2 linked regions of the Macaca fascicularis genome follow. The protein of the gene in region 2 interacts with the protein of the main gene of each other region in a pairwise test. Links are inferred from orthologs where the notes say so. Each region holds a gene or a part of one and is shown on either strand. Other genes may lie near its edges.

Region 1 (12,441 bases), on a different chromosome or scaffold from region 2:
AAGAAAGAAAAAAGGAAAATTTCAGGCCAATATCCCTGATGAACATCAATGCAAAAATTCTCAATAAAATACTGGCAAACCAAATGCAGCAACACATCAAAAAGCTTATCCACTATGATCAAGCCGGCTTCATCCCTGGGATGCAAGGCTGGTTCAACATATGCAAGTCAATAAAAGTAATCCAACACATAAACAGAACCAATGACAAAAACCACATGATTATCTCAATAGATGCAGAAAAGGCCTTCAACAAAATTCAACACCACTTCATGCTAAAAACTCTCAATAATCTAGGTATTAAGAGAACATATCTCAAAATAATAAGAGCTATTTATGACAAACCCCCAGCCAATATCATACTGAGTGAGCAAAAGCTGGAAGCTTACTCTTTGAAAACCGGCCCAATATAAAGATGCCCTCTCATCACTCCTCTTCAACATAGTGTTGGAAGTTCTGGCCAGGACAATCAGGCAAGAGAAAGAAATAAAGGGTATTCAAATAGGAAGAGAGGAAGTCAAATTGTCTCTGTCTGCAGAGAGATGACATGATTGTATATTTAGAAAACCCCATCGTCTCTGCCCAAAATCTCCTTAAGCTGATAAACAACTTCAGCAAAGTCTCAGGATACAAAATCAATGTGCAAAAATCACAAGTATTCCTATACACCAACAATAGACAAACAGAGAGCCAAATCATGAGTGAACTACCATTCACAATTGCTACAGAAAGAATAAAAATACCTAGGAATACATCTTATAAGGGATGTGAAGGACCTCTTCAAGGAGAACTATGAACCACTGCTCAAGGAAATAAGAGAAGAGAGAATTTCTTAGGGGCATTGGCTCACATGAGTATGGAGGCTGAGGAGTCCATGATAGGCTATCTGCAATCTGGAGAACTAGGGAAGCTATAGCATGGCTTGGTCCAAACTTGAAAGCTTCAGAATCAGGGAGGCCATTGGTCTAACTCTCAGTCCAAGCAAGAGGTCTGACATGCCTGTGTCAATAAGGAGACAGACGTGCCTTGGGGAGTAAGCAGAATGATATATTGGATGGATTGACTTGAATGCAATCCAATGCTTAGGTGTTAGATTGGGAAGAGGCCTGAGAACCAGGGAAATTGATGGTAAAACTCTCAGTCTGAAGTCAAAGTCCTGAGAATCCAAGGGGGTTGGGGAGGGAAACTGGTACAAATCCCTGAGTCCAAAAGCCTGATAACCTGGAGTTCTGATGTCTAAGGGTAGGAGAAGAAGGGGGTCCCAGCTTCTGGGAGAGAGCATATCTTCCTTATTTAGCCCATGGATTCACATGCCAGTCTCTTCTGGAAATACTCTGAGACACCCAGACAGAGTGCTTTAACAACTATCTGAATATTCTTTAATCCCCTCAAGTTGACACTTAAAATTAATTATCATGGTCACAATAATGTACTCCCATGAAGATGTGAATAACTGAGGTCTTTTTTTGTTACTCCCCCCAACACCCATGTATATTTGCATCATAAAAATGGAGAGTGTTTTCATAAAGGAATTAAAATCAAACATCAGATTTTTAGGCCATGTGGAAGAACTGTAGCCAGCAAATAGACCTGTGTGTGTATGATAGAGTGTGCATGTTTTAAGAGAAGAGAGCAAAAAAGGGAATATACTGTAGGTAAGTCTCCAGCCAAGATCTGAACAAGATCTACTTACCCCATCTTTGTCCCTGGTAATATAAATTTCTATGGAATTTTCTAAATCCATGGAGATACTAGAGATATGTTGTATTTTCTGTCATTTCAAAATTTGGAAGTCTTGACAGGTTCCATGTTTGATCCCTTCAGACAGTAAGCTTTAAGTAAACACCTCCACAAAGACTTTTATTTCCCTGTCATCCAGGAACCACTTTTGCTTAAAAATTTGCTTTATTGAACTTTAAGTGACTTTGCCTCTTTCCTAACAAGAGCTCCCTCATCAGCATCCACCAATGAAAGATCTCAATCCCAGGACACTGACAAGATGCATTCGTCTCACAGCAGCAAAGTCATCATGTGCAAATGACAGCAGCACATATGTCTTCTAGCTGTGGTAAGAAGGAATTGAAAATAACAAGCTAGCTCCAGAACACCAAGCAATGGAAAGGCAATGAAGTTTACCAAGGAGGCTTCCCAATCTAACACCTAAACACTGGATTGCATTCAAATCAATCCATCCAGTGTATCATTCTGCTTACTCCCCAAGGCATGTCTGCCTCCTTGTTGACACTGCACAAGGTTGCTCCCTTTCTTGGTAACTTTGATATTCTCAGCCACACATACTTACCTGCTGCAGAGGCACCATTTTCCTGAGCTCACTTTAAGTCTAGATTTCTGGATTTCTCGGTCTGCCTTTCATTCATCTCCCCTTAGAATTAGCTCTTTTGTAAAATTTTTTCCAGCCTCTCATTTTTAGTACAATGGTGAGTCATGTCTGCTTTTGAGACAACTACTTACTGAATAGATTTCGTGAGCCCAAATCCATGCCAGAAATGATACAGAAGACAAAAGTCCCTTAATAATATCTGCTCTCAGGGCACTTGAAATCTGGCTGAGGAGACAAGCAAATATAAATGAAAAGACAATCATAGGAAACAATAGAAGACAAAACACAAGGTGCAAGATTCTGCAATTTGTGGAAGTCAGAGAATATCACAGTTGGCTGGGGTGATCTATTTCCTTTCCTAATCCTTCTCCAGTGTCACTCCCCAGTACATCTTCAAACAAAGCAATAAGTTTCTGGGTACTTACTACATGAAAGGCACTGCTGAGAATGCTACAGACTTCTACCTTCAAGGAGAGATAAAATACAAATAGTGCATAAAGCAAAAGATAGTCAGTGGTAAGAGAGGCAAAAAGTATACAGACTATATCCTATTGCACTCTTACTGGTTTTCAAGGAAAAATTATCTCTTCAACTGTTAAACATTATGGAGACCTCAATGGGGTTTGTTTTGGTTCTCTATTGCCTCATTAAAATTTAATGGCTTAAAACAACCATTCCATTTTGATCACAATTTTGTGTGTCAGACATTTGGATGGCGGGCCCTGATCCATGCAATGTCAGCTCGGGTGGCTGACTGGGGCCAGGGTGGGGGCCGGGAGGGGGGTCCACTTCCAAGTTGTCCCCATCACTTATGTGCCTCACACATCTGTGTTTATTGGGTGTGTTTGTGTGTGTGTGTGTCTGTGTTGTGTCTTCTCTAACTCTGTCCATACGGTTTCTCATTCTCCAGGACCTCTCTGCATGGTTTAGGCTTTTACCAATATGGCAGCCTTAGGGTATTCAGAGATTTTTCATGGCAGCTGAAGACTCTGTAAGACCAAGGAGAAGATGTCAGTGCTCTTAAAGACTAGATCTATAATGAATAGCAACATTTCTATCATATTCTTTTATCCAAAGACATCACAGTTCTGCCCAGATTCAAGGGGAGAACAAACAGACCCTCGATGGAAAAGTGTCAAAGAATTTGCAGTCATCTTTAATCCACCACAGAGTACATGAGATAACAGAATGATATTCTATGGAGTATAAAAATTTGTTTCTCTTTACAATCTTCAATTAATCCAATTTTTATGCTGTAAACCTAAGAGGGAGGCATAATTAAGAAAAATAATCTGCTTTGTATTGCTTATTTTGAAAAATGTGAAAAATGTTCAGGAGAGGCAATGATGGCCTTGGTCTAAATTGTTCCTAAAGGACTTCTAAAATGTTTTTTTCATCATGTTTCTTGGAGTGAGTCCTGCCTGAATTGTTATAGACAAAACAGGGAGTTGAGTCTCAGCCTTTGTTCTTTCCACATTTGAGAAAAAAAGAGGAACCCAAATGCCAGATAAGAACTTGGTCACAGAAAACAGGGCAAGTGTCATTAACAGAACTGGCTAGAAGAGGGGTTGCCAAAAGAGAGGAACAAGATCTCCTGCAGCCAATAAAAAAGTTGGAAATCTCTAAAACAATAGGAAGTATAAATGGAGAGAAGGCAGAGACAGCAGCAGACAGCAAAGATTCATCACAGACACAAGGGTTCATGGACCAGACTCTGATCTCCAGGGACCCCAAATCTGAAGAATCATAATAGGGAGGGAGCTAGACAAGATGCCCTGGACCACCAGAATGTTTACCTTGTGGTGATAGCAATGAGTGTTGTGAGAAGTAATTAGATTCCAGATGTATGTGGTATATAAAGTCAAGAAGTGTTTCTGAGAATTTTGATGTAGGGTATGAGAGAAAGAAAGGAGTCAAGGTAGGCATCAAAGTTTTTGCATGAACAACTGGAAAGGTGGAACAGATTTTCAGAAAAGATCAGGAAGGCCATTTTTATTATCCAAAGTCTGACCTGCCTATTAGACAACTAAGTGAAGATAAGGAGGCAAGTAAATATGAGTCTGGATTTCAAGAAAAAGAAGCAACCTAGAAATACAAATTTTAGAGCCATCAGCATATAAGTTGTATTTATGTCATAAGACTGGATGAGCTCACCTGCAGAATAAGTGAAGATGGAGAAAAGAAGTCTGGGCACTGAGTTCATGGGCACTCCTCAAGTTGGAGGTCACGGAGGAACCAGCAAATAAGAAGAAACTTCCAAGGAGTTAGGAGACAAGTATTACTAGATATACAGAAAATTGCCAGGAAGGTATAAAATTTCTAGATTTGTATGAGCCTTAAGAAGTCATCAAACATACATAGAGCAAAAATTGACAAAACTAGAAGTATAGGAATCCAAAATCATAGTTGGAGATTTTAATATAATTTTCTCAGTAGTGACAGAACAAAGCAAAAAAATCATTAAGTATATAGGAGATTTGATCTAATTAACAGCTAACAAAGAGGGGACTATGTGTAAAATACACACACATACAAATACACACACACGTAACATAAAGGTAATTGTTCTGAAAATGTAAATCTTCCTGAATATCAAACAGGGGATCAGCAGTCCAGAGACTGGCAATAGTAACCACTACTAACTCTAGGACTTGAGGAACAAATGAGGAAGTCATCTTACTGATGTCCAGAAACTGGGGCAACTAGTAGAAGCTGGATCCTCCAAGGATCTGTTCAACGAGAGGTGGAGTCACGGAGAAGACTCCGTTGCTGCCTGAGACAGAGGAGGGATGAGATATGCTCTTTTACCTACCCTCCAATCTCCTGCTAGTGCCATTTGCTAAACCCAATTGAAAGCTGATTGGTAAGGTGGTACCTGGGAAATGGAACTGCAGGGATCATCCCTCCTAAGAAGAGCATAGAGAAGGGCATGACATGGATGTGAGAGACAACAGGCAAATGATCAACACACTGTATACAATGTCTTGTTCTTCATCCTAAGAGCAATGGGGAATCATTAAAGGGTAATCTCATAGGCATTTTTTACATCTGCAGTACTAAGATTGCAATAGATGTTCATAAGGACAGTTATGAGACCAATGCATTTGTCTAGGCAGAGATTGTGGTGACTTAGACCAAAAGTAACAGAAGAAGAGGGAAGTAGGCTGATTTGAAACACGTTTAAAAGTTAGGCTTGAAAGAACAAGACACCGATGTCGATGAGAGAGTCAAGGATGGCACCCAGGTTTCCATTATGAAAAACAGGGGAAATTGGAAGGGTCATTTGCTGAGATGGAGAAAACAAGGAAGAACATATTTACAAGAAAGATGGTAAGTTCAGTTTTGATGCAAGTCATCAAAATGGTGGAGTTCAAAAAACAACTGATTATCTGGACCTGGAGTTCAGGAGTAGGATCTGAATAGGGATACACATTTTGGAAGCCATCAGCACATGCCTGGTATGTGAAACTAAGGGAATGAAAGAGATCACCTGAAAAGATTGGGTATAGTCAGAAGGGGTCTAGGTATAGAGAAATGCCAAAATTTAAACAACAGATAAAAGAGAAGTAAAACAAAACAAAAAAAAAATCAGAAAGAAGTCAACGGAGATGTCAGAGGAAAATATGTTGAGTAGAATATAATGCCAAGAAAGAGAGTATCTCAGAAAGAAGGAGCATTCTACCTGTGAAATGTAACTACAAAATAAAGGAGATCAGAACTAAGACATGGCCTTAGTGAATATTATTTCCCCAGAGGCTAAAGAGAAACTCAATTGAATTGTGAGATGAGGAAATAGTGACATCAAGTATAAACAACTAGTATAAATGTGCTTGGGAAATGGAAGTGACAAATAAGGCAGTAGTTAGGGATGGGTTTCACTGGACAATAGGAAGGCATTATAAATTTTTGAGCAAGATAATTATACAATGAAAACAAGACTTTGAAAATGTAATTTTCACCAGATTGTGAGAGCATATGGGGTAGCAAATATATATTCACACCCCCAAGTTTCATTACTCTGAGTGTCTACTGCTTTGATTTACAGGGAATGCCAACATTAAAGATTCTTCTTCCTCAAGTATATACAAGGGTCCCCAAGGGTGCTGAAATGAACTCATCCTGGTCATCACTTGCTACCACCCCCATCAGAAGCACCCACTCATGGCCAAGCTGTTGGCCCCAACAGGTCCAAGCTGGTGCCATTTAAATCTCCTTGTTCTCACCAGCCAGTCTTGGTTTTGAAGTTTGCAACTACCAGTGGTGCTGCCAGAAAAGCACCCACATCACTGGTGCTGCTGCCAGGAAGGATGGAACTTGCAGCCCATCAGGGGCAGAGACCTGGTTAAACTGGTCATTTGTGCTGAGGTCTACTGGACAGAGACTTTCCTACCAAACAAGAATAACTGTCTCTCTCTCTCTTTCTGTCTGTGTTATATTTATGAAGAATAGTTGCCAGCCATTAAGTGTTTCTGTTGGTCAGGACATTCTTTATGTACTTTAACTCATCTAATTTTCACAACAACCCTCTGAAGTAGATAGGATTTTTGTCTTCCCATTTTACAGCTGAGGAAACTGAAACATGGAGAAGTGACATACTTGACCAAGGTCATAAATCTAACAGGCAGAGGGGCAAGGTAGATGTGCAGGCAGGTCTGCTGTAGATGCCAAGTTCGTAACCACCACTCTGCACTGCCACTTGGACTTTGTGCCAACACTGCCCCTACTGCCTGCCAGACTCTTCTTCCTCTTGTAGTATACTTCCTTCTTGTCCTTTTTCCTGAAATTTGGCCACAGATTCTACTCTAGCTCATCAGAAATATTTTTATAGCTAGTTTTATGGTACAGACAAATGGTCTCAATCCCTTAGTCCCATGCAAATTAGCAGGTACAAATAGACTGTAGAAGGGAAGGTGGCTAATTCTACTCACCAGCAACACTTACATCCCAAATTAGCCAGGATGTAAGTATATCCAGGAATCAGAATGGCCTATTATCTAACTCCTCCTACCAGGAACAGAAGGACCAGGACTCCTACAGAACCAAATGTCCCATTAGCCAAGTATTGATCTGGCCAAGGTGTGTTGGAAGAACTGGAGTCTCTCTCCTCATCCACGTAAGAATATCACTAGAGTGTCTGCTATTTTGCCTGCTAACCAAGAGCAAAAAATTTCAGGTCCATAGTAATCCTATTATATTTACCTTTTCTCTTTATAGAGATATTTCAAGAACAAGGATCCACTCCCTGCCTAGCTATGGCTTAGAAAATCTTAAGAAGCTGAGGGCCAGGTCGACTTACAACTTAAAAAAGCTTCCTAGTCTGGAAAAGCTTGTTGCCCTCATGGAAGCCAGCCTCACCTATCCCAGCCATTGCTGTGCCTTTGCAAACTGGAGACGGCAAATGTGAGTCTATCCTTTGAGCCCTGCTCAGGGATTTCCCCAATGTTGAACTTAGTCCATAATTTCTACATATCTGCGACATGAAGAGAATCTACTTGCAGAGAGTTCCCTGTCTCAAGCCCTTTGGCACATTTTGGGTCAAAAATTCAGTTTTGTGGAGAGTGAGGAATGGTTGCACTCTTTCATTTCTTTGAAAATGGGCTCACAGGACAGGGCTACCCATGGGGCAGAACATATACCAAGTACTAAATGAGAAAACATGAAAAATACTAAGCATAGTGCCTGACTCAGAGTTGGTGCATAATATCTGTTCCCTCTTACCCTTGTACCTTTATAGATTTAATGTTTCAAGTCCCAAACTCTGCACTTCATAAATGCCCCATCCATGTCATGTTTGGCAGGGAGATGCATAAATGCCATGCCAGAGACTGATGTACACATCTGCAGCACATCCCAATCACTCTAAGCCTCTCTAATCCACCTTGGAATCTTACTACCTCACAGGGAGGAGAAAGATTAAGACATCTCATTACTTTGGCTTTCAAAGAAAGCCAGGTTCAAGGAAGCCCAGACTTAAAGAGGATGATCTAAACAGAGACAAGTCCTAGTACCTAACTGGTTAAAAAACTGAGGTAATCATAGAAAGGATCTGGAGAGAGTAAACAGAAAGTCGCCTTGGAGATTGTATGCACGCCCCAGACATTTAAACGATGCATTGGAGGTAAGAATTTACTTAGTATGAAAGTTCTAAAAGCTCTCACTCTCCTCTGAGCTCACCTACATAAGCCACACCATGTAGTTGCACTCAAAATGTTTTCCAAGTAGCTGGGAGTCTCTCCTCAGACCCTTCTGAAGGATTTGTAGAAAAATAGCTGTTTTTCAGAATCTGCATGCATCACTGGGATATTATCCAGAATGGGCACACTTCATAGATGAGCTCAAGAGCCAGGAAATTTCTCCCTGACACCCAGAATTCTTAAGGTCCTGGGCTGAAGCAGTGGCTTGCCTCTTTTATATTCCACGTAAGAATTATTCTATCCAGAGTGAGAAAGATACCAATTTTGCACCAAGTCCCTGGAACTGAATACCCCGAAGGAGAAATAAAGAACATTAAGATTGGCCAGGCGAGGTGGCTCACACCCGTAATCCCAGCACTTTGGGAGGCCAAGGCGGAACAACTCCTTGAGCCCAGGAGTTTGAGACCAACCTGGGTAATGTGGTGGGACCTCGTCTCTACAAAAAAATGAAGAAAATTAGCCATGTGTGGTGGCACATGCCTGTAGGCTTAGCTACTCGGGAGGCTGAAGTGGGAGGATTGCTTGAGCCCAGGTGGTTGAGGCTGCAGTGAGCCATCATCGTGCTACTGTACTCCAGCCTGGGCAGCAGAGTGAGACCCTGTCTTTAAAAAAAAGAAGAAAATGTTAAGATCACTGTGAGAGCAGCTTGCAGTGTGCTATTTGGCCCAGTTCCAACACACCCCAATAATTTGTTATCTCATCGTATTACTCAGACTCCTCTAGACATAGCCTCAAGGCTCTCCCAATTGGCATCTCCACATCTGCCTTATATTGTCCCAGGACATGAGGTCTTCTCTGATCCCTCCAGACCACTCTGCTCTCATCCCTCTAGGTTGCTGCTGTAACTCACCATCCAGGCCTGTTGGGGTACAGCAAGGAGGGGAATGTGGTTCTTCCACAACGTGCCAAAATGGAGTAACAAAAATTGTGATAGATGGTTTTCGTTTTTTATTTTTAGCAATGGGTATTTGATTTTTGTATTCATCAAATTCACACACACAAACACCACAAAATAATTATGTTATTCAGAAGATATTTTCAGATTTATTCCTTTGATAGTATCATTTCATTGTATATCACAGTAGGTGTGGTTTAGTAGTGGGATTCAAGTTTTAACTTGTATGATGAAATTATTCTGATCCTCATTTGGAAATAATGCCCAGAGTATAAACATGAGGCCCCTGTGACTAAAACTTTGGCCAGTGGTCCTCCTGGACTCTTTCTGGGCTCTTCCCAAAAGTTCCTATCAACTACACTCTTCATTTGTCATTGAACCAGATATTTCCTTGTCATAATTCTGTATTCAGTTTGCATTACTTTACTCTCATTTTATTCTTCAATTTTTATTGTATTTAACAATACAAGTTGTTTCTTCACAACACAATGCTGTGAAGGCCATTTCTTCACGATTCAATATTAAATTGACATGCTGTGGCATATGCTTCTAAGTACCCACACAGGGCCTATACCTCCACAAGAATTCCATAAATAACCACCATTTGTCTTCGTACTGCTGACATTTGCCGAGTATTCACTGCCAAGCACTGTAATACTTTGTATCTTTATCTCATTTAATTTCCACAAAGGTAACATGATTATTATTCGTTTCTCACAGAGACAGAAACTGAGGCTCAGAGATACTAAATAACCTGACCTACACTGACCAAACAAATCCAGATCTGCTCTGCCTGCCTCCAAAGCTCAGGCTCTGGGACACTGCTACACCACCCGCAAGCATCTGTTCACTGACTGATCAGAGTCCAAGAGTGCCACTTTTTAAACTGGCCCTAAACTGAATTTCCAAATCCTTATGATAGTTAGGATTTTCCAAAGTACTGTGGAGGCAAGGTTTGATGTCCCTCGGTTTCCACTTTTGTTTCTGTTCTTATCTCAGAGACATAAGTTATTTACTTTTCTCCTTACTTCATGTCAGTGGGTCACTTCTGTTTCAGAAAAGGGAAGCACAATATTTAAAATATGTGGACAGCAGCAACAACAATAAGAATCTTCACAGACGCCAACCATAAGTCCCAGGAAGTGAAGCCTGTTTCTAGAGAGTTAAGTAAGATCTCAATCCAATGAACCACACTGCAGTCAGCAAGTACCAGGTTACTTACTTTCTCTTCCTGGAATCAGGCTGCAGCTAGTTCATAACAGGGTTTAAGAGTTGGGAATTAGACTAAGGACCACAAGATAACCCTCTTATGCCCTCTACGCCCATTATGGAGCTTGCCTCACCTTCCTTGGAAGACCACTGACTAAATCAAAACATTTTCTGGGCTCTGTTTCCATTGACTTTCAATTCTGTATATGTTCATCATTGAGCCTTAAACAAACAAAAAGAATCCCTTAGGCCAAGGGAAAATGACTTCCTGGCAATTCAATTCACTTCCCAGGGGTGAGAGAAGAGAGGATGGGGAGAGATGGGGAAAAGTTCAGTCCATGTATAATAGGTTGGAACACCTGGTGAGACTCATCCTTTAGCATCAAATGGAGTCTTTACCTCCTCCACTCCCCTAGCCACTTCTTTCCTCCTTATGAGGGTTTTAATATTCACTTCCCCGCTTATATCTGAGGTGATGTCAAGGTTTAATAAAAATACAGTCAACTTAATATAGATGTGAACTTGCCCCTTGGGGAAGGAGGGAAAGGTATGCCTGTGTATGTGTGATTTTTTTTTTCATCCAAAAATGTCCCAATGTAAGGGTTATTCCCATTCCATAAGCCTTTACTTCCAAACTGAAATATTACCTTCCATGTCTCTACATCCAGAGTATTGATAGACTACTCTGGGGTAGAATATTTATAGGTATACTCATGGATTGAATATTTATCACCTGGATTTCATTCAAATCCCTCTGTAAGTACCTCTATGCTGTTCACAAGGCCCCTTGTACATTTGTGTTTAAAGGGAAAACCAAGACAGCAAAGTGAGCCCAAGGAGACCTAGGCTGCCCCGAGGATGAGTTACATTCTTAGAATAAATTAGGTCCTTTTGCAACTTGCACTTGCTCTTTGGGGCACTCACTAGGAAACTAATATGAGACAGCCAGGCTTACCTTGCAGACAAACACATGTCTGAGGCCTATTGTGGCCCCCAGAAAGTGAGATAATAAAGAACAGGAAAGACCCTGGTAGCATTGCAGGCAAATTAGCTGGCCTCCTAATAGCCTGAGAACCAAAGAGCCAGGGAACAGGGGCTGGCTGGGAACTAACTAGATTTTGATCCCCTAATTTATGTAGATAAGAGAAGCAAATAAGTTCTCATTTGAGTGAGAGAACAGTCTGGATCTTCCAGTGATTTGAGTGTAGAAGAATAGGAATATCTCCTACTCAGGCATATTAAGAGATAGCTGGATCAAGATGAGAGAAGGAAAAGGGTAGAGTTGATACCAGGTCTGTAAATTATTTTCACTTAACAGCAAGGCTTAGTCTCAGGCGCCTTCCTCCCCACATTCAGGTTGTGGCAAGATGGTTTCCCCAGTGGGCCATCCAACTCTAGTAATATATATACAAGTTGTTATATTCATTTACAGTAAGCAGCATTAACCCTTGAGCTTAGCCTCAAGGGCAGATACGATGTGAGAAGAAACAAAAAATCTCGGGAGGAAACCCATCATTTCTACCCTGCACAAAGACAGTGATGTATTTGCTATTCTGGATCTGAGATGTTGATTCTATTTCTTTTTGTATTTTTCTAGTTCTGAGCTTCATCCAATTTGCAACAAATCTATTTTAAGGCAAGAAGTTGATTATACGACTCAGGCTAGGGGTCGGAGAGCCTCTCTGGCAGAAGACAATGAGCCCGGTTACAGCAGAGGATTTGACATGATGTACAGTGAGTTTGACTATGACTTATGCAATGAAGTGGCTGACGTGACCTGTTCCCCTAAGCCAGATGCATTCAAC
Region 2 (12,441 bases):
AATTAGCTGGGTGTGGTGGCACACACCTGTAATCTCAGCTACTGGGGAGGCTGAGGCAGGAGAATCATTTGAACCTGGGAGGTGGAGACTGCAGTGAACAAAGATAAGGCCACTGCACTCCAGTCTGGGCAACAGGGCGAGACTGTCTCCAAAAAAAAAAAAAAAAAATCTACCCATTCAAGGCCAAATTTAAAAATTACAGAACTTGAAAAATTATGAATTAATAAAAACATGTAAGCCACAAAATTACTCAATTTTGTTAGATCTGGGTAACATAAAATAAAAATATTACCTCTGGATTTTCACTTAAGTATATTTGTTTAGATATGTTGTTTATTGTACAGATCCACTGCAAGAGAAAAAAATAGAAAAATATAATTAATAATTTTTTTCTACAAAGCTTCTCTTGTAAAGGCAAATGTTCAATACTCAACTGCAACAGATGTTTCATTAGAAGTAATCCATTTATCTTCCTTATAAGAAAACATTTCATAAAGAGGGTGCGTATAAATATATATAAAAGAACATTCAACATTTTCATTATTTAAATATATGAAAACATTCAGTAGATTTATATAAGAATCTCAAGTTTAATTCACATAAGAAAATAAAAAATACAGCAATCATGTTAAATTATGCTTAATAATCTATATTTATCTTTTTATATCACTTCCCCTCCTAATCCCCACCAAACAAGACGGTGTGAACTCAGGTATCATAAACACAAATGCAAAAAAAACTTAAAAGACAAATATATTCTTGGCGAATATATTTTACATGCCTCCCTTCTGTCAAGTTTATAAATAATTAGCATAGAAAACAATCTCCACTCTACATCTTCTGCTTCACTCTCGAGGATTGAAGTGCCTGATGAGCCTCACTAATCTAAACAAATATTTTATTTGGTAAATTATGCAGAGAACAGAGACATTTGTGTGTGTTCCTCAGAGACCGAAAGCAAGTTTTAATATTACTCTTTTCCATAAGAAGTAAATAAAGGTAGATCTCTATAGCATTTCCAACTTTTATCTTTTACCAACACAATTATAATGCCAAATTAAAAGGCGAAAAATCAAGCTAAGATATATTTTCATGGAAGAATGTTTCTCAAGATAAAGGTTTGAAGCATCAATTATTGCTAATACCTTACCTTCCATATCTGATATAGTAGGAGTAAAAATGGAGTCAAAAAGAAAAGGCTCATGAGGAAGAACAGAGACTCCCAAATTTTTGTTTTTCTATCTTTCATTTCTCCAAGATTTTCAGCTTTAGTTGTTTCCTTGCCATGTCACATCTGCTGCCACTATGTTCTTAGTGCAGCAAATAGTGTCTCAAAGGATTGGTGAGAGAAGACAGTAAATTAAACTGTCACCTCATGATACTAACAGCCTGCCAGACAGCAACAGTCACAAGGTCATTTCTCAATCTGAGTCTTTAAAACAGCAGAGATGATCTCTAAGGTCCCTCCCTCTACAAAATTCTGTGAGAAACAAGAATATTGCTCAAGGACAATAGACCTTTACCAAAAAAAGAAAAAGAAAGATTTTTAATTAACTAGGATTTTCCAAAATTTCTACAATAAACATATTAATATATGTTTTGTCATCAGAGAAATATTTTTAAATGTCAATGAAGAAATGAACTAAGTAAAATCTTACCTCTTCATGATCTTTTTTACTCTCTGCTTGCAAAATTGAAGATCTGGAAGAGAAGAGACATTTGAGCCTCAACTGTTTAAAAAAGTATTTTCAACATAATCTGAGAGAACTTTTTAATCTTTAAAGGTAAAGGCATGTATAAAAACCAATCGGTATTAAAAGAACAAAAACAAAACACAACCAACAGTATCTTAGGAAAAGGAGACCACCAGAGGTATCAGGATGCAGACTTTAACAACTCTGACTTTGGCTACCTATCCCAAGATGTACCAAAAAGGAAACAGGTGCTGATCCTTAGAAGACAGACCATGACAAAGTTACATTTCAGTGAAGGCAATACATTTCAACTTATCATATATATTTCCTATATATTATGAACTTATCATATATATTTCAAATATGCATCAATGATCCTAATAGCAAAAACTTTACTTCATTATTTCTCCTTTAATATTAAATCAAATATTTCAATGTTAATCATTAACATATCATTAATTCACTTTTCTATAGATATAATATTAGAGTTAGAGAAAATAATAATTTTTACTAATTTTGCATCACACCAGGAATATGAAATGGGAAATCAGGTAAGCATTAAACAAAAAGTAAGTACTTATAGTAAGTAACATGTTAACAAGTGGGTAATTTTGATAAATGAATACAGTGATTCCCAATATCTAGTGGGATAAATCCACACAATATTGGCATTCATTGTATGTTTGTAGAAGGAATGTGAAATTAAACAACCATTTTGATAAAGGATAGTGAGCTATAATATTTTTTTTTTTTTTTTTTTTGAGACAAAGTCTCACTCTGTTGCCCAGGTTGGAAGGCAGTGGCGCGATCTCGGCTCACTGCAACCTCTGCCTCCTGGGTTCAAGCAATTCCCCCTGCGTCAGCCTCCCAAGTAGATAGGATTACAGGCACCTGCCACAATGCCCAGCTAATTTTTGTATTTTTAGTAGAGACTGGGTTTCACCATGTTGGCCAGGCTGGTCTCAAACTCCTGATCTCAGGTGATCCACCCACCTTGGCCTCCCAAAGAGCTGGGATTACAGGCGTGAGCCACCAAGCCTGGCCTATAGCATCTTTTTTTCAGGGGTAAAGGTCAAATTTATTTATTTGTATAATATCTTAATGTGCATAAATACAGGGGAAAAAAATGACTTTCAGGGAACCCAGAGGCTGCTCCTGATTATTAAATTAAGAAAGTTCAAAGGTTAAAAGCAGTATTTTAATTGAGTGGGGGAAAAATGGCAGATAGTCTAAACATTTATCATTAGGAAAATGTTTAAATTATAATGTATGTCCTTAAATAGATTATAGAATAGCCATTATAACATGTTTTTAATAGGTGGCTGCAAATCCAAATTACAGTATTTCTTCAACTATTTTAAAAATGTACTTAGGTTAAAAATTGGAAGGCAATGGACAAAAAAGTTAATTGTTGCTTTCGATTAATAAGACAGTAGAATTTTTTCATACTCCTTTTTAAACTTTCCATGCTTTTTGAAAATTTCTTTTAAATGCTACTTTAAAGATTCTCATTTAATGCAAAAGTAATAGAAGCTTGGGCGTGGTGGCCCAGGCCTATAATCCTAGCACTTTGGGAGGCTAGCGCAGGAAGACCACTTAGGTCCAGGAGTTGGAGACCAGCCTGGGCAACATGATGAGACATCTCTACAAAAAAAATTTTTTTTAATTGCCAGACATGGTGGCATGCACCTGTGATCCTAGCAACTTGGGATCCTGAGGTGGGAGGATCCCTTGAGCCCAGGAGGTTGGGGCTACAGTGAGCCATGTTCACACCACTGCATTCCAGCCAGGGAGACATAGTAAGACCCCACCTCAAAAAAAGGTAATAGAAATTTTTTTAAATGGTATTATAAACATTAATGGAAAAATAATCTGATCAGAAATATTTGATTAACATTTTAAAATAACACTGTTGTTAGCACCTACTGTATGTCAGTCATATTACATATGTTAGAATTTCTGTTCCTCACAACAATTTACGAAGTAGGGATTACAACCCCCCCCACTCACATTTTACATGAACAAAAATGGAGCTGAGAGGGGTTACAGACATTACTCTGCTGTCTGAGACCACAGAGTAAGTAATGGATCCAGAATTTGAACTTTCTGACTCCAGGTTTAGGACTCTTTCCATGAACTTGTTCTGTATTCCCCGATGCTACACAGGATTTTCAGTTCCAGTTCCCTAACATGAAATCACAGGTCTTTACTATATGACATTTCTTTGACAACCTCAAAATATCAACAAACCATTTAACCAAGTCAGAAACAAAAATTCAATATATTTCTACAAGATTAAAAAGCAATTTATCTTAATACATATGAACCTAAAATGTCCATAAAATTTCTAAACAAAAAGGAATTATCCCACATTTCAGAAGTTTAAAATATTATAGATAATTAGTAGTAGGAAAAAATACTAACTTTTTTCCATCGAAAGAGGTGATCTGAAAACAATATCGTCTGTCTTCACAGTCCACAGCCATCACTGAACAGTTGTCTATGTCCATGGCCAGGCCTCCTGCTACATCCCCACGGGCCTGACTCATTAAATTTCCACCCTGCGTGAAGTAAAACTGTCTGTCCCAGGTAGATGACACCAAGCCTGTTTTACTAAATGAAGAAAGCACATTCACTCTTTAATAACAACATACCTGAATCTCATCATCAGCTAGACACAAGATAAAGCATGTTACAAAGAACTGGCTTCCGAAAAGGCACCAAGATGCCAAGAAAATAAATATAAATATGCTTTCAGTCTCTAAAATAAATTCATGTATATTGACTCACTTTTGTGAATGTATATACAGTTTCCAAAACAAGGCTGGAAATTATCAAACTGTGGCTGTTATAATAACGATCCATAAAATACAGGTTATAGTTCAACTTCCAAGGGAGTAAATTCAAAACAATAGAATTTATTTTATTTCTAGGGTTAACCTGCTTCATCCTATCATCAGGTGAAAACTAACATTTGACTTGGTGCTATAATTACAAATATATTAAAGTATGATAAATGATATTTCGCAGCATTCTCATGTGATGATACCATATGTGAATATTTACTTAAACTCAAATTAGTTTCAGTTCATTTTTTTTTTTGAGACAAGAGTCTCACTCTGTCCCCTAGGCTAGAGTGCAGTGGCGCGATCTCAGGTCACCGCAACCTTTGCCTCCCAGGTTCAAGTGATTCTTGTGCCTCAGCCTCCTGAGTAGCTGGGATTACAGGCATAAGCCACCATGCTCGGCTAATTTTTGTATTTTTAGTAGAGGTGGGGCTCCACCATGTTGGCCAGGCTGGTCTCGAACTCCTGACCTCAGGTGATCCACCTGCCTTGGTCTCCCCCAAAGTGCTGGGATCACAGGTGTGAGCCACCACGCCCAGCCTTGGTTTCACTTCTTTTATCATTCTACATTATTCAATAAATAGCTAGGTAGGATTTTACTTCTGAAAAGTATTTACGTACCTCATCTGTCAAAAAGTTCACATAATACTAACACCTCTAAAAAGTTTCAACCTTTAATAAAAATCAAAACAATATGACAGACATCAATTATTTATTATATTCATTTGGTATTGTCTTACATGATATACAATATACAAAAATAACAATAGTTTTCTTACTTCCTAGCATTAAGGTATCCAGCCTTTCGGGTTAAATTTCGATTAACAGGAAATTTGGTGGGGTCTGGGTCAGGCACATATAAGGGATCACTGGCTACTTCCAAATCCTCTATTGTCTGTTGCATGGTCTCTATATCACTGTCCATTTCCCTGCGAACACTGATACAGAACAGATTATTTACTATAAATCACAATCAATGTAGAACTCCTTACTAATCATGTTTACCTGCATATTTGTTTTGGATATGTTTTCTTAAAGAGAGGAAATGTGGCATGCGTGGTTAAAACAACACAAATACATTTTAAAACAGGTTTACAGTTTATTTGAAACTTAGATATTTTGGAAACAATACTAAATTCAAAAAATGAATGAAGCCCCACTGAATCCCTGATTTTGGCATAATTTTCAAACTGCGCCTTTAAAACAGAGGTCCTGTGCCTTTAAAACAACAATCACTTTCATCTCTCTCCATACCGTGGACAGACCACATATATTGCTCAGCATTTTGAACCTGATGAGAACTGCTTTCTCTCTGTCTTTAAGCTTTCATGGCGTGGAAACAATATTTAGTAATCTCCCATTAAACTCCCACAATTTCAAGTTTAAAGATAATTTCACTTATGGGGAATTACTATTATGTGTCTGTTTTATTCAGACATAAAACTGAGTTTAGAATCAAATTATCACCATTAAGAAATTCGAAGTTCACAATCTATGGAAAAAAGAGGTAAAAAAAAAAAAAAAACAAGAAGTAACCATGAACCATATAAGAAACTCTCATGGCAGGGAAAATATTCACTCAGGAAATTAAATGATAAATATCTTTACATTATATCACTGAGCTGTTAAGCTATCATTCACATCATTTCATTTTCAATTTTAAGGAAAAAAATACTTACTTCTGAACGCTTGTTCCAATATTAGCTAAAAATTCTTCCAGTTGTTCATTAAGATTTTCAGAACCCATCTTAAAGAAACTTATCTGGAGAGCAGGGAGTCGGGGGAATTGAACAATACAAAAATACATTAAGCAATACTTAAAGTAAATCATATAAACAATCTCTAAGATACATGGTTAGGTAAAAAACAAAGGAATATTCCCATTTGTGTAAAAATACATTGTAGTTTGTGATTTCTACTGCACATGGAGCCATTAAGGAAGTTAGACTTAAATTCCACTACATATCCTTTTATATTTTTTGAATTGGAACAAGTAATACATATGTATGGTTAACAATCTTTTAAAATTGGAAAATAAATTTTAAAGTATTTCCAACAAATTATATAAAGTATTTCATGTTTACTACAAAGATAAGTTTTCTATCTGAGGAATAATCAGTAAAGTACTCTTTTACTTAAATAGATTCAATTTTTTGTTTTTTTTTGAGACAGGGTCTCGCTTTGTCATCCAGACTGCACAGTAACACCTCATTGCAGCCTCAGCCTCCTAGGCTCGAGGGATCCTTCCATCTCAGCCTCCCAAGTTGCTGGGACCATGGAGGCATGCTACCAAGCCCAACTAATTTTTTCAATTTTTGTAGAGATGGGGTCTCCCTACATTGCTAAGGCTAGTCTTAAACTCCTGGACTCAAGTGATTCTCCTACCTCGGCCCTACCAAAGTGCTTGATTATAGGCATGAGGCACCGCACCTGGCCTCAATTTTCTTTAAACTCTTAATTTTTAGGAGACTGACACTTTGTCTTATACTACCCAAAACAAATTTCTAGCCCCCTTCCTGATGTACCTTGGGGCACGCTGGAGTTCATCTATTATTTTTAACTCAGGAAGTATGCAAGGAATATGGGATAAACTCAAACCTGTTCATTCTCTTTCAGATCTATTATGAAGCAAGTGTTTAGTTGAAGCTCCAGCAATAGGTGTAACTCTGAAATTCATTTAGCTTTCTGTTCTCAGTCCCCAGCTACGGTGAACAAGTGGTTTCATTTACCCTAAAATATTTGAAATCTTCATTTGCAAGGAAAACCATTCTTCCTAACTTCCTTAAAATAACAGTCTGATGACATTTTTTAAAATTACTTCCACAGACATGAACAAGGATGTTGAAAATAGTTTATAAATCTTTATACTTAATGTAAATATCAAGCTTAATATAAAGCTTTTAGGACAGTTATAATCCAAAATACAGTACAGTATTTACCTGAGCTTGCATGTACCCAAGTAGAGGTTCTAACAATGCTATTTTCTTCTTGTACTGAAGAGTATTTAATGCACAAAAATAATGCATCATGGTCTGGTGTTGTTTCTTTCTGGACGTGTACACATCTTCTGTTACTTCATACTTCACCTTTGAATGAAAAGATTTAAATAATTAAGTAAATAATCTACTATTATTTACTTAATTTTGTATTATCTTCAGTAGGAGCTGTGGAGAAGAGCCCACCGAGGAAAAGGTGTATCACAAGCAATTGAGCATTGATGTTCCTGTTTCTGATCTTTTAGAAATCCTTCAACATACTGGTTAAGCGAATTTTCCTGTTTAACTTCCTTCCAACCACATAATTTACAAAATGCACATTGAGGCCAGGCGTGGTGGCTCATGCCTGTAATCCCAGCACTTTGGGAGGCCGAGGCAGGAAGATCACTTGAGGCCAGGAGTTTAAGAGCAGCCTGGTCAACATGGTAAAACCCTGTCTCTACTAAAAATGGAAAAAAATTAGCTGGGTGCGGTGGTACATGCCTGTAATTCCAGCTACTAGGGAGGCTGAGGCATGAGAATAGCTTCACCCTGGGAGGTGGAGGTTGCAGTGAGCCAAGATCACACAACTGTACTCCAACCTGGGCGACAGAGACTGTCTCAAAAAAAAAAAAAAAAAAAAAGGCATATTGAAAACAGAATTCTGTACATAACTAAGAATGGTACAGTAACTAAACTAAGCATGGCAGAGAAAGCTTACCACATGGAGGAAGGGCAGACAATTGTTTGTTATTAGGTTAGCCATTAGTCTTTGACTTTGATCAGTTCACAGCATACCAGTCTCCCCTCCTGGTTCTCTCCCTATCAGTCTTCCTCTCTTGTACTTGCTTGTCTTCCCTCACCCATACTTGAAATATGTGTGCTCCCTAGAGTTCTTTTATTCAGACAACATATATTTATTGAATACCTATTATGTAATAGGCATTATGTTCTTCTGTCTTCCTCCTTTCCTTAGAATCCTCAAGTACCAAGAATATTCTAATATTCCAATATATCAATGACTCACAAATTTTATCTCTTCCCTCTCACTCTCCCAAGTGACAGAGGAAACGCATCTCCAGCTGGGTTCTTTATGTGTGTTTATGTGCTACAAATGTACAAAACTGAAAATAGTTTTGTACACAAAACCTGTTCTTCTACTTTGTTTCTTAGCTCTCTTAATTACTACAGGATCCATCCAGACATCCAAGAAATCTAGGACTCATTTTTTATTCCTCCTATTACCACAAGACTTGTCAACTCATACTTAAGAAATATCTCTCGGCCGGGCGCGGTGGCTCAAGCCTGTAATCCCAGCACTTTGGGAGGCCGAGACGGGTGGATCACGAGGTCAGGAGATCGAGACCATCCTGGCTAACACAGTGAAACCTCGTCTCTACTAAAAAATACAAAAAAAACTAGCCGGGCGAGGTGGCGGGCGCCTGTAGTCCCAGCTACTCGGGAGGCTGAGGCAGGAGAATGGTGTAAACCCGGGAGGCGGAGCTTGCAGTGAGCTGAGATCCGGCCACTGCACTCCAGCCTGGGCAACAGAGCGAGACTCCGTCTCAAAAAAAAAAAAAAAAAAAAAGAAATATCTCTCAAAAGTACTCCTTCCTCTCCACTTTCAGTAACAACCTTAGCTGAGGCCTTCATTATATCTTTGCAAACTATTCCAATTCCTTTCATTGGATTCCCTCTACTCTTGTCCTCTTCACATTTTCATTAGTATGTTTGTTCTATAACACAACTGCATGATGTTATTCACCTACTTAGAATCCTTTGGCGGTTGTCCACTCCCTCTAACACAAATTTCAAGGTCATTAATATAGTAATCTGGTACCAATATACTTCTTACTCTTTCTGCCATATCTCCAAACATTTCCTTTACTGTCACAGAGTACTCCTAACCTTTACACTCTCCCAACTCCACCATGTGCCTCTGAAAGGCTGTTTTTCTTTCAGGAAAGCAATCTCCAATTCCAAACTAGTGTTATCCACTTATCTTCAATGTAAATGTCACCTTTTAAAAGTGTAACCTTTGCTGGCCGGGTACAGTGGCTCACACCTGTAATCCCAGCACTTTGGGAGGCTGAGGCGGGCGGATCACCTGAGGTCAGGAGTTTGAGACCAGCCTGGCCAACACGGTGAACACCCACCTCTACTAAAAATACAAAAATTAGCTGAGCATGGTGGCTCACACCTATAATCCCAGTTACTGGGGAGGCTGAGGCAGGAGAATCACCTGAACCCAGGAGGTGGAGGTTGCAGTGAGCCGAGACAGCACCACTGCACTCCTGCCTGGGAGTCAGAATGAGGCCCTGTCTCAAAAAAAAAAGTGTAACCTTTCCCAATTCACCAATCAAAGCTAACTGCTCCCCTCTCTGTGCTCTCTCCGCATTTTATTAAAACCCCTATTATTGTATTTAACTAATAACAGAGTTAATCCATGCCTTCTTGTCATCCTTGTACTCTGGTTCCTAGTCGACTTGCATGCCTTCACACAGGTAGCCTTCAATAAATGTGGAGTATCCAGTCTTTGAGGGCAGGAGTGAAGCCTATTCCCATTGTTCCCCCAAGGTACCCAACAGACTGTTTGACATATATTAGGTACTCAATGAATTTTTAAATAAAATGAAGTTGGTGAAAAAGTGTTTTTTAAAATACTTTGAACAGCCAGAAGTAATGTAAAATATATCAAATTTTATACCTAGAGCCTTTGACTACTTCTCTAAGGCCAAGTGACTATTAGAGATCTTAAAATGTATACATTTTATCAATACACCATTAAGTAGTAGTCTGCAGCGAAAATTAGAAAACGAAAAGGAAATCAATCTTCATACTAAACTTTGTGTGAGAAACATTTCCTTTGTCACAGTAGCTGTTGCACAGTAAATTGTACCCAACTATGGATTCCCACAAGCAGTCACTGTGTTTCCAACAGCAGCTGCAGCCAAGGCTACAGACACCAACACCCAGGCACAGAGATCACCTCAGTCACAAGCATCTAGAAAGACCTACACATCAAGCTTTGGACTAGGTGCTGGAGAAAGACATGATCTTAAGGCACGCCCAGAAGAACTTGTTAATACTCTGTTCTCTGATCTTTACTTGAATGCATTTCTCCTCAAATACAGTGTAATATTTCTGTATTTCACTCCTTGAACAAATATCAAAAGATATATATTTCTGTAAATAAGGAGGGCCTCATAACAGAATTTCATTATGTGTGTGACAATTCTACTTCTTGACCACTCTATCTCAGAAGACATTTTTGAACACACATATATATTCAAACAGAACCAATGCCATGTCATCGAAATACAAAGCAACAAGAGGCAATGTTATATACTGGGTATTAGTTACATTTCCAGAATAGTTATGTTTACTTATAAAATCAAATTTTGGCCGAAGAAAATATTTTGTTTAAAGAGATCAATGATTATCAGAAAGGTTTCGAACAGCTAGAAGGAAAGAAAAAACTAAGGGTAATATAACAAAACATACAAAGTAACTGCTGGCTCTATTTTGATAGAGGAAAAACTAGACCACCTAATGAATAGTTGTTAATCATGACACTGAAGGAATAAATGTGTATCACACCTTGTCATTTTCTCTTTTTTTGGATAATCGGCTATATCTGTTAATTGCAGCATCATGATCTGGAAAAAAGAAACGAGTGTTAACAATACAACAGTACTTTTCAAAACTTACAAATGCTTTCAATGGTCTTCACATGTGCATCTTTCCACAAACGTACTAAAGCAAGAATTTCCTACCACATGATCACTGAACTCAAATTTTCCCCACAGCCAAATTTCCCCTAAATTATGTGTCTACTTCTCAAACTGGTTTTTAAAAAATTAATTCCAGGAAACTAATGCAGTAAAGCTTTTTAAAGTATTTTGTAGTACAAAAATAGCAAACGCAGCTTAGACACAGTGGCACATGCCAATAGTCCCAGCTAATCAGGAGGATGGGGCAGCAGGATCACTACAGTATGCTATGATTGTGGCTTCAATAGCCACTGCACTCCAACCTGGGCAACACAGCAAGACCCCATATCTTAAAATATATACACACATATATATACACACACACACACACACACACATATATACATATATATATCTCTAACACTCAATGAAAAATTGGGATATATAAAAGAACAAGAAAGGTAAAATACTATAACATCTCTTTAAGCATTATGAAGATAGTAACCTATAAGACTTAATTTCCTTAAGATTTAAATTACACTGTATAACCAGTGTAATTTAAGAAGCAATACTGATTTAAGTAATGTTCACTTATTTTTAATTGGGTTCTTTTTTTTTTCAATTATTACAAAGAATCTAGCCACAGATATGCACTGATAAACAAATACATCACTGCAAGAAATAAGTATGCAAATTATAGGGCTTACCGTTACTTGCAATCTGAAATACTTCCTTTAACGTTAGTATTTCTGAAAAAGTTCAAGAATAATTTAAGTTTGGCATATTTATGAAATACATTTGTTTGGAAAATAATAACTGCTACTTAAACTATAATTAAAACTCCAAATAATATTTCATACTTCAACATTCAGGGTGAAAAAGCTATTCTGTGTTTCAGCTAGTCTATGAAACATTTACTATCATTAGCAACAGTTACACCACCAGAAAATCTACTTGCTACAAATTAGTGATATGACAGAAAAACAAATTTAAACACCCACTGTAAATGGTAAGATATGCAAATATTCTGATTTAGTGCCAGAATCATGCATTTTTGGTATATGAATCTAAACATTCAAATGCTAAACGAGAAACAAAACATCTTATTAATAAGATTATGCCATTCAGTCCCCTTACACTGAAGAAAAGAGATCTTGTTCTAGACCTTAGAAATGACCATTCTTGAGGATCACAACCACAATTAGTAACTCCA

The links.
Region 1: the proteins of APPL1 (region 2) and FSHR interact in a two-hybrid assay, tested with the Homo sapiens proteins (2 studies listed by BioGRID). The link is inferred for Macaca fascicularis from reciprocal best matches to the Homo sapiens genes APPL1 and FSHR.

Annotation. Positions count from the first base shown.
Region 1 is NC_088387.1:73,032,142-73,044,582, forward strand, and holds part of FSHR (follicle-stimulating hormone receptor), read left to right. Parts: intron 1-7,552; coding exon 7,553-7,738; intron 7,739-12,233; coding exon 12,234-12,441. UniProt on the Homo sapiens protein: G protein-coupled receptor for follitropin, the follicle-stimulating hormone. Through cAMP production activates the downstream PI3K-AKT and ERK1/ERK2 signaling pathways.
Region 2 is NC_088376.1:120,330,221-120,342,661, reverse strand, and holds part of APPL1 (DCC-interacting protein 13-alpha), read right to left. Parts: intron 11,978-12,441; coding exon 11,936-11,977; intron 11,175-11,935; coding exon 11,116-11,174; intron 7,627-11,115; coding exon 7,480-7,626; intron 6,303-7,479; coding exon 6,220-6,302; intron 5,479-6,219; coding exon 5,320-5,478; intron 4,308-5,319; coding exon 4,119-4,307; intron 1,702-4,118; coding exon 1,659-1,701; intron 350-1,658; coding exon 293-349; intron 1-292. UniProt on the Homo sapiens protein: Multifunctional adapter protein that binds to various membrane receptors, nuclear factors and signaling proteins to regulate many processes, such as cell proliferation, immune response, endosomal trafficking and cell metabolism.